Linked DNA regions of Sus scrofa. The protein of the gene in region 2 purifies or fractionates together with the protein of the main gene of each other region. This does not show direct contact. Links are inferred from orthologs where the notes say so. Each region holds a gene or a part of one and is shown on either strand. Other genes may lie near its edges.

What was found.
Region 1: the proteins of GPC1 (region 2) and HADHB purify together in Homo sapiens (co-immunoprecipitation; 3 studies listed by BioGRID and IntAct, counting the BioPlex papers as one, with this or other methods). This does not show direct contact. The link is inferred for Sus scrofa from reciprocal best matches to the Homo sapiens genes GPC1 and HADHB.

The regions. Positions count from the first base shown.
Region 1 is NC_010445.4:112,742,883-112,746,686, reverse strand, and holds part of HADHB (trifunctional enzyme subunit beta, mitochondrial), read left to right. Parts: intron 1-1,776; 5' UTR 1,777-1,784; coding exon 1,785-1,851; intron 1,852-1,959; coding exon 1,960-2,004; intron 2,005-3,804. UniProt on the Homo sapiens protein: Mitochondrial trifunctional enzyme catalyzes the last three of the four reactions of the mitochondrial beta-oxidation pathway.
Region 2 is NC_010457.5:139,456,296-139,460,832, forward strand, and holds the start of GPC1 (glypican-1), read left to right. Parts: upstream 1-1,570; 5' UTR 1,571-1,897; coding exon 1,898-2,063; intron 2,064-4,537. UniProt on the Homo sapiens protein: Cell surface proteoglycan that bears heparan sulfate. Binds, via the heparan sulfate side chains, alpha-4 (V) collagen and participates in Schwann cell myelination.

The DNA.
Region 1 (3,804 bases), on a different chromosome or scaffold from region 2:
TACATATATATATACATTATTTTTTTTAAACTATCTTCCATCATATAGAACTTTTTTTTTCTTTTAGCAGTTACGACGTGATACTGCACTTTCCCTGAATTTTTTTTTTTTTTTTTTGTCTTTTGTCTTTTTTGTTGTTATTGTTGTTGTTATTGTTGCTATTTCTTGGGCCGCTCCCGCGGCATATGGAGGTTCCCAGGCTAGGGGTTGAATCGGAGCTGTAGCCACCGGCCTACGCCAGAGCCACAGCAACGCGGGATCCGAGCCGCGTCTGCAACCTACACCACAGCTCACAGCAACGCCGGATCGTTAACCCACTGAGCAAGGGCAGGGATCGAACCCGCAACCTCGTGGTTCCTAGTCGGATTCGTTAACCACTGCGCCACGACGGGAACTCCCCCTGAATATTTTTTTAATGCTACTTCTCAATTTTATTTTTATTTTTTATTTTTTTACCTTTCCCCCCTGCCACTATACAGCATGGTGACCCAGTTACACATACATGTATACATTCTTTTTTCTCATGTTATCATGTTCCATCATAAGTGACTAGATATAGTTCCCAGTGCTGCACAGCAGGTTCTCATAGCCAGTCCCTTCCAAAGGCAATAGTCTGCATCCATTAATCCCAAGCTCCCAATCCCTCTCACTCCCTCCCCTTCCCCCTTGGCAACCACAAGTCTGTTCGCCAAGTCCATTATTTTCTTTTCTGTGGAAAGGTTCATTTGTGCCATATATTAGATTCCAGATAAAAGTGATATCATATGGTATTTGTCTTTCTCTTTCTCTTTCTGACTTACTTCACAGTATGAGAGTCTCTGATTCCATCCATGTTGCTGCAAATGGGATTATTTTGTTCTTTTTTACCGCTGAGTAGTATTCCACTATGTATATATACCACATTTTCCTAATCCAGTCATCTATCAGTGGACATTTGGATGGATTCTGTGTCTTGGCTATTGTGAATAGTGCTGCAGTGAACATGTGGGTGCATGCGTCTTTTTTAAGGAAAATTTTGTCCGGATATATGCCCAAGAGTGGGATTGCTGGGTCATGTAGTAGTTCTATGTATAGTTTTCTAAGGTACTTCCATACTGTTCTCTATAGTGGTTGTACCAGCTTACATTCCCACCACTAGTGCAGGAGGGTTCCCTTTTCTCCACACCCTCTCCAGCATTTGTTATTTGTGGACTTATTAATGATGGCCATTCTGACTAGTATGAGGTGATATCTCCCCTGAATACCTTAGTATGTATTCCCTACAAATGTTCCCTAGAAACTTTCCACAAGGCATACTACACAGTCACAGTACAACCATCAGAATCAGGAAGTTCATGTTGGTGGCTTCATGGACCTGTCCAGCAATTTCTCTTCCCCTTTGACCCTAGAGAAGAGCATAAACTCTGGAGCAGATTGCCTGGCTTTAGATCTCAGCTCTGTGTCTTAGTTGTCACTCAATCCCTGAATGCCTCAGTTTCTTTCTCATCTATTACAAAGGGTATGAGAATCACCCTTGCCTACTCCACAGGTCATTGTGAGGATTAGAGGGGTTGATGCTTAGATTAGTGGTTTGCATGCCATGAAAGCTATGTCAGTGTAGCTATAATAGTATTAATATTAGAGAAAAGGTAGCTGGCAGTAGAGTGAGTTTTAGAGTATTTTATAGTAGCCATGGACGAGATATCAGCGATCATAGACTACAGAATAAACTACGGATTGTTCAAATAACCCAGAATGTATTTTACTCTTATTTATTTATTGTTCTTCTCTTTTTAGATTTCACAATGACGTCCCTCTTGACTTACACTTTTAAAAGTCTTCCCAGTACATCAAAATGGGCCCTCAGATTTTGTAAGTTGTATTTGTTCTTTCTTTTTAAGATTAGCTTTGGATATGTAAGCGTCTTGCATAGACATGGTATTGTACTGCTTTTTGTAAGCACTTTATTTTGTCTTCCAGCTTTAAGACCTCTGAGCTCTTCCTCCCAGCTGCAAGCTGCCGCAGGTATAGTAATTTGTAAAAGAAACATTTTCTATTTAAATGTTAAATTCTGGAATCTAGATTTGTGAATTTTGAATAAACACCAAAACTAATTTGCTAACTCTCCCCTTTCTATAAGCAACCTGAACATCACTATTGCCTTCAAATTAAAACAGTATAGGACCAATCAATAATAATAGATTATGGTGTAGGGTTGGGCTCAAGGATGTTGGCAGGACTTTGCTTTCTGGGACTTGGAACCTGATGGAGTCACAGAGGTTCCATGAACCTTGCTGGTCAGTTTTCTCAGCTACTGGCTGTCAGCCCTGGAGATGATTAGCTCACAAACCCTCTGGAGACTATTGTGGAGCCCAGAGTTAACTTACTCAACTTCCAGTGACAGGTTTCTCTGTTAATGAGGTCCATGTGCAGAAGGACCTGTACCTGAAGTAGATGTGACCTTGAAACTAGTTAATGAAAGAAGGTTTAGTCAATATGAAATGAAAAAAGGATGGAAATTTGTTGATTTTGTATGGTCTTTTAGACCTTGGTAAACCCAATGAGTTAGACTTCTTCACTATTGAGTACATACTTTTGCAGAACTTGTTGTGGGTATGTGTCTTCAATGGCCAGTGCTAAACACCCTGACAGGTTCATACCATTATTCTCCTTGCCTGGGTCCTATATTGACCTATGATTTTTGAGTTTGGTGTCATTATGGTATTTCTACTTGGATAATAACTTAATAGAGAAAGTGCCTTACCAGGATTCGGAAGATACTACGCTGTTCCAGTTCTACTTCTTGTGGGGCTGTTTGGCCTTCAAGGGATACTTCCCTGTGCTTTAGTTTCTTTGTCTAAAAGAGAATTACAATTTTAGCCTTGTTAACCTCAAGTAAGTATGAATATATTTCAAAGAAGTTTGAAAACTATAAACCCAATATAAGTAAAAGATGGTATTTTTATATTGTTTTACATATAGTATATTTTCAGGGGTCTGTTGCCTAATCACACCTAGAAAAGTTTCATGTTGTCATATAACAAATATATTTTCTGAATTCTCTCAATTCTAACTAGAACGTAGATTAGTATTAACCTTACAACCAATTATTCCCTTCTCATTTCACCTTTTTCCTAATTTTGATGTTTATTCAGATCTTTTGCTTTGAGATCACACAGAGAGATCTGATTCTTGTCAGCTGGGAGATGGTCACATTGAATAGCAACAGAGGGAAGGCATTTTTGCTGGCTTTTGGAATATTCTTCTTTATATTGCTTTTAAACTATTTTTGTGTTTCTGTCTCCTCAACTATATTGTAAGCCTTCGTAAGACACAAGCTCTGGGGTCTAACACTGCCCTCAAGTGATTTGTGTTCATGTTGATGATGATAGTGGTGCAAGAAGATGTGTGATAAGACAGAGGAATGTGACCAGCTGATTTGAGGGGAGGGAGCAGGAGCGGGCATGTGCCCATGCTGAAGAGGTTTAGGTTGCAGTAATTTTATAGCTAATTTCTCTTCAAGCTCATGTGACTACTATACTTGATGGCACTCTTAGGATGAAGGAATTAGAGTGGTACTAATTTTATTGATGTTTTTAGTCATCAGATTGGAAATGTAAGTGAGAGAAATTATGACTTGTTCAGTAGTTATGTCTGTATATACTTTGCATCTTACTTGACTTTCATTCTGATAAACCCATCCTAAGTTGAAAATATTGTAAGTCGAAAATGCATTTAAGGAGTTCCCGTCGTGGCGCAGTGGTTAACGAATCCGACTAGGAACCATGAGGTTGCGGGTTCGATCCCTGCCCTTGCTCAGTGGGT
Region 2 (4,537 bases):
GGCCCCACCCTAAGGAACCCCCCAGTCCCGCAGGATTAAAAGGAGGCAACAGACCCAAAAAACAACAACTACAGTAAGGTCAGGAGACTCTCCTGCCTCAAGCCAGGTTTAAGCCCCAGCCTGGCCCCTGCCCGACCCAGAAGCACGTGGCTGGAGGTGAGCTTCTAGAGGGCAGGGTGGGGGCCAGGTGTCCTGACCCAGGCGGGGCAGGTATCTGGACAGCCATGCCCGGCCCAGGCAAGCAGGAGCAGGCCTGCCTGAGAGCTGCCGGGGTCTGTGAGTCACCAGTGTGACGAGGTGGCAGGTGCTTAGGGAGGCCAGAGGTCTGCTCCCTCCACTGGGTCCTCGCTGCGGCTTCTCTCACCGTGACAGGGGCTCTGGGTGAGAAGCCTTTCCTGGGAGGCAGGGCAGATGGGAGCCCAAGCCCCCTCTGGAGCTGCTGAGCCCACAGCTCAGGGAGTCCCAGGGCAGGGATGGAGCCCTCTCTCCTGCCGCCTCCCCCAGCCCCCAGGGGGTGAAACCGGAACCCCCAGGTTCAAGGTGGGGACACTCTTGCTGGAACATGGTGATCATTTTGGGGTCCTCTTCCAAGGGGGCCCATCTCGGCCCATTAGGCATCCGGGCTCAGGGCCTGGCGGTGTCTGGGGCCTTTGCCCACATGACCGGAGAGCGGCCAGAAGCCGAGAAGCCCTCCGGACACCGCCGCCCTGCTTCTCACCTCCCTTCTCACAGACACCCCCACCCCACCCCCACTCCACGCTGCTGCTACCCGCCCTGTCCACCCCCTCCTGGTCCCGGGCCAGCGTCACTCAGCTGGTCGCTGGACACGCTCTAGGTCACGCTCTCCCCAACCCCCAGCAATCTGACCTGTTGTCGGCCCGACCCCCTCCCTTCCCCAACAGGTCACCTGCCACCGCCCAGAGGCTCAGGCCAACAGACAAGCTTCCGCCCCCCTCGCTCGCTTCTTGAGCATCCCAAGAGTCACGTGGAGGGAACAAAAAACCGGCTGACATCTCCAACAACTAAGCCATTGGTCGCCTCGACGCAGGGCTGGGAGAGCACAAGGTCTGGTCCCTGGGCTAGTTTCCCGCGTACAGCCCCCCCCGCCGCCCCCCCAACAAAATCAAGTGTGAGAGCTGGAGGCGGCTGAGACCGGCGCGGGGCCAGTAAAGGGTGCGATCTAGGTGCGGGCGGTGGATCGAGAGGCCCGAGGCTGCGGGAGCCGACAGGCGCGGCGCGCTGCCAGGGTGCAGGAAGGCAGGGCCCGAGCGGAGAAGGGGGACGGGGGGAGGGATGCCGATTTCGGCTGGGGGCGGGGAAGCCCCTGATAGGCGCGCGGCAGGCGTGATGTCACGTCCGGCGGGGGAAGCCCTGCCTCAGCACCCCCGCCCCCGCCCCCACAGGTGGTGCCGCCGCCCCGGGCGCTGGGCGTGGGGGGCGCGCCCTCCGGGACCCCAGCCGCGGCCCGCGCGCTCCCGGCCACCCAGCTTCCCTCCAGCAGTCGACGGATCGGCGCGAGCCAGGCGGTCCCCCGGGCCCGGGGAGCGGGAGGGGCGCCCGGTGCGCCCCGGATCGCGCCCCCGCGCCGCGCCGCGCCGCGCCCCGCCCCGCCCCGCGCGCCCCGCCCCGCCCCGCGCGCCCCTCCCCGCCCCTCTCCCGGGCCGCCGAGGGGCCGGGCCGGGACTGCGCGCTCGCCCGCCGCGCTCTGGGCCGCCCGAGCGAGCGGCCGGTCCTCGCGCCCCGCGCGCCCCGCGCCCCGCCGCCGCCGGCTTTTGTTGTCTCCTCCTCCCCTGCGGCCGGCGCCTCTGGACCGCGAGCCGAGTGCGCCGGGACCTTGGCTCTGCCCTTCGCGGGCCGGGGCTGCGCGGGCCCGGCCGGGGGCGCCGCCGGCCCCGCCATGGAGCTCCGGGCCCGAGGCTGGTGGCTGCTGTGCGCGGCCGCCGCGCTGGCCGCCTGCGCTCGCGGGGACCCTGCCAGCAAGAGTCGGAGCTGCGGCGAAGTCCGCCAGATCTACGGGGCCAAGGGCTTCAGCCTGAGCGACGTGCCCCAGGCGGAGATCTCGGGTGAGTGACCCGGCGCGCCCGGGGCTCCCCTGCGCCCCCTCCTCTCTCCCGCTCCGCGCTGATCCGCCCCCCGCCGCCCTCCCTCCGCCCAAGTCTCCGCGGCACCTCTCGATGGTCCCCGCGCCCCCAACACGCACCCCGGCCCCTTCCCGGCGGGGCTGTCCTCGCCGGGCAGTGGACCGGGCGGTCCCCAGCTCGGCGCGTCCTCCCGGGCAGGCAGGACTGAGCGGCGGGGCCGGCTGTCGGGGGGCAGCTGGCGGTGGCCACGGGCGACGGACTCCCACCGGCTGTGAGGGCCTCTCCGGGAAGCGCCTCGGGTCGCGCCGGGGGTTCCCGGGGTCTGCAGCTAAGGCAGCCTGGGCGCCGGCGAGGTGGGGAGCGAGCTGGGCGCTGGTGGGGCGGGAGCGGGGGGAGAAGGCGGAGGGGCACGACCTCTGCCACCGGGAGCGGAACGCCGGCTCGCAGGGATCCCTGCCGAGGAACTTGTGCTTGCCTGGCACTCCGGGCGCCTCCGGCGGGGAGTCCAGCTGCAGGTGGTCGGCGCCTTGGATCCCGCCCAGGGGCCATGTCATTTCTTTGTAAGAACATCGCCGTCCCAGGCGGCCTCAGCCCTGCAGCTGCCTGCAGTCCTGCCCACACCCTCCCTGCGGGCCTCTGAGGAGCTTTAGGGACAGAAGCGAGGGGAGGGGGTGGGGCACAGTGTCCTAAGAATTTCTCAAACCCCCCCAGGCTTCTTGCTCAAACTGCAAACATGTCCAGAAGCACACTAGATCTGCGCGTCTGTGCAGGGTGCCTGGGACTCAGTGGACGAGAGCGGACCAGGTTCCTGCCCTGAGGGACTGACTCCTCCCAAACTGGGGGTGGTGGCAGGGCTACCCTCAAGTGGTGACACGGGGGACATGGAATGACCATGGCCACAGGGATTCTGGATGAGAGGAGTGTGAGGGGCAGGTCCATGGCCATGCCTTGCTGGAGAATGGGGGTCGGGGCAGGGGGACAATCAGGCCCTGGACCCCTGCCCCCAGAAGGGCAGAACCCACGGCAGGCGCCTTAAGAGATTCCTGGACAGCCCACTGCCTGAGGCTCCAGAGAAACTTCCTCTCAAGGCCCCCCCCGCGCAGGCCTTCCTGCGCCTCTGCTGACTGAGCCCTGTCTTTAGGGCTGCCACCCTCCCAGGGGACAGGTCTGGTGGGCACATCTGGGTGCCCGAGGCAAGCGTGAGGCCCCCTGCACAGTTCGATTCCTGCCCCTCCCCCACTCAGCCCCACAGAGGAGCTGGGGGACCCCTGGCCTTTCCGGTGAATCTCTCCTGGACCCGGGGGTCTGCGGGCTGCTGAGCAGCTGCCCAGCTGCCCCACCCACCCTGATCTCGGACAGCACTCCCCCAGGGTCCCCTGGACCCCACAGCCCTCCTTCAGACGCCCGCTCCCACTCGGCCCCCTAAACTCGATGGCATCCCCAGGCCTCTGTCCCACTTAGGCTGAGACAGAGCGGCTGAGTTTGGGCGGCCGCCAAGGGCTGGGCTAGAGCAGGGCAGGCTGGAGAAAGTGACGTGGGGCTGGCAGGGACGCTGGGCCCTGGCCCCCTTGGGTTGGAGGGTGCTGCGGGTTAGGGACCCAGGACCAGCGAGACGCTTTGCTGTGGGTGAGATATGGGGGGGCGCGGTGCTGCTCAGCCGGCTGGGAGTTTGGCTGCCCAGCAGTGGCCCAAGCATCACGCCAGCCAGGGCTTCGAGGGCCACACACGCACACACACACACCCCCACCCCAGCCTGGACTGCGCACCGTCCCTGCCCGGGCCCCGTGGCCCCCTCACCCCTGCTCCAGGGGCTTCTGGGGAGCTGCTCTCCCCTCTGGCTGCACCCCCCCCCATGAACAGCTGAATTCGAGAGCACCTTGCCCGGTCCAGGCACCGAGGAGCGGGCCAGCCCCACGTGGGTGAAGGAAGCAGGGTGACCTCCCAGGCAGTGGCCAGTCCCGTGCCCTCCTGCGCTGGGCAGCTCGGCTTGGCCTCCGTGGACGGCGCGCCCTCTGGTGGCCCCGCGGTGGCACACTGCTCTAGGGAGCCCGGCCTCCCCGCCTCGCTGCTGCAGGCCCAGCGGCCGCTCCTCTCCAGCACGGGGACCCCTAGGGGTGGACGCGGGGTGAGAGTCCGGCCTGGGCCAGCTGCGGGGGTGGCGGCTGGGAGGGAGGGCGGCCCTGGTCTCAGGGTGGTCTTTCCACCTCTGCCTGCCCCACGGAGTGGCACCAGGGTGGGCTCATGAAAGACGACCCGTCCCCGCGCGCGGGGCTCCCCTTCAGGACTTGGAGCAGTTTTTTGGATGGCTGGCCAGGCCTGGCGGTGGTGAAGGCAGCAGACGGCCCATTTTACAGTGAGGCGGCCTGGGAGGCTGCAGTGGGCAGGCCACGGAGGCCACACACCTCAGGTCACCTCCCTCCAGCCAGAGCACCGCACGGAAAGTGAGGGCCAAGCCC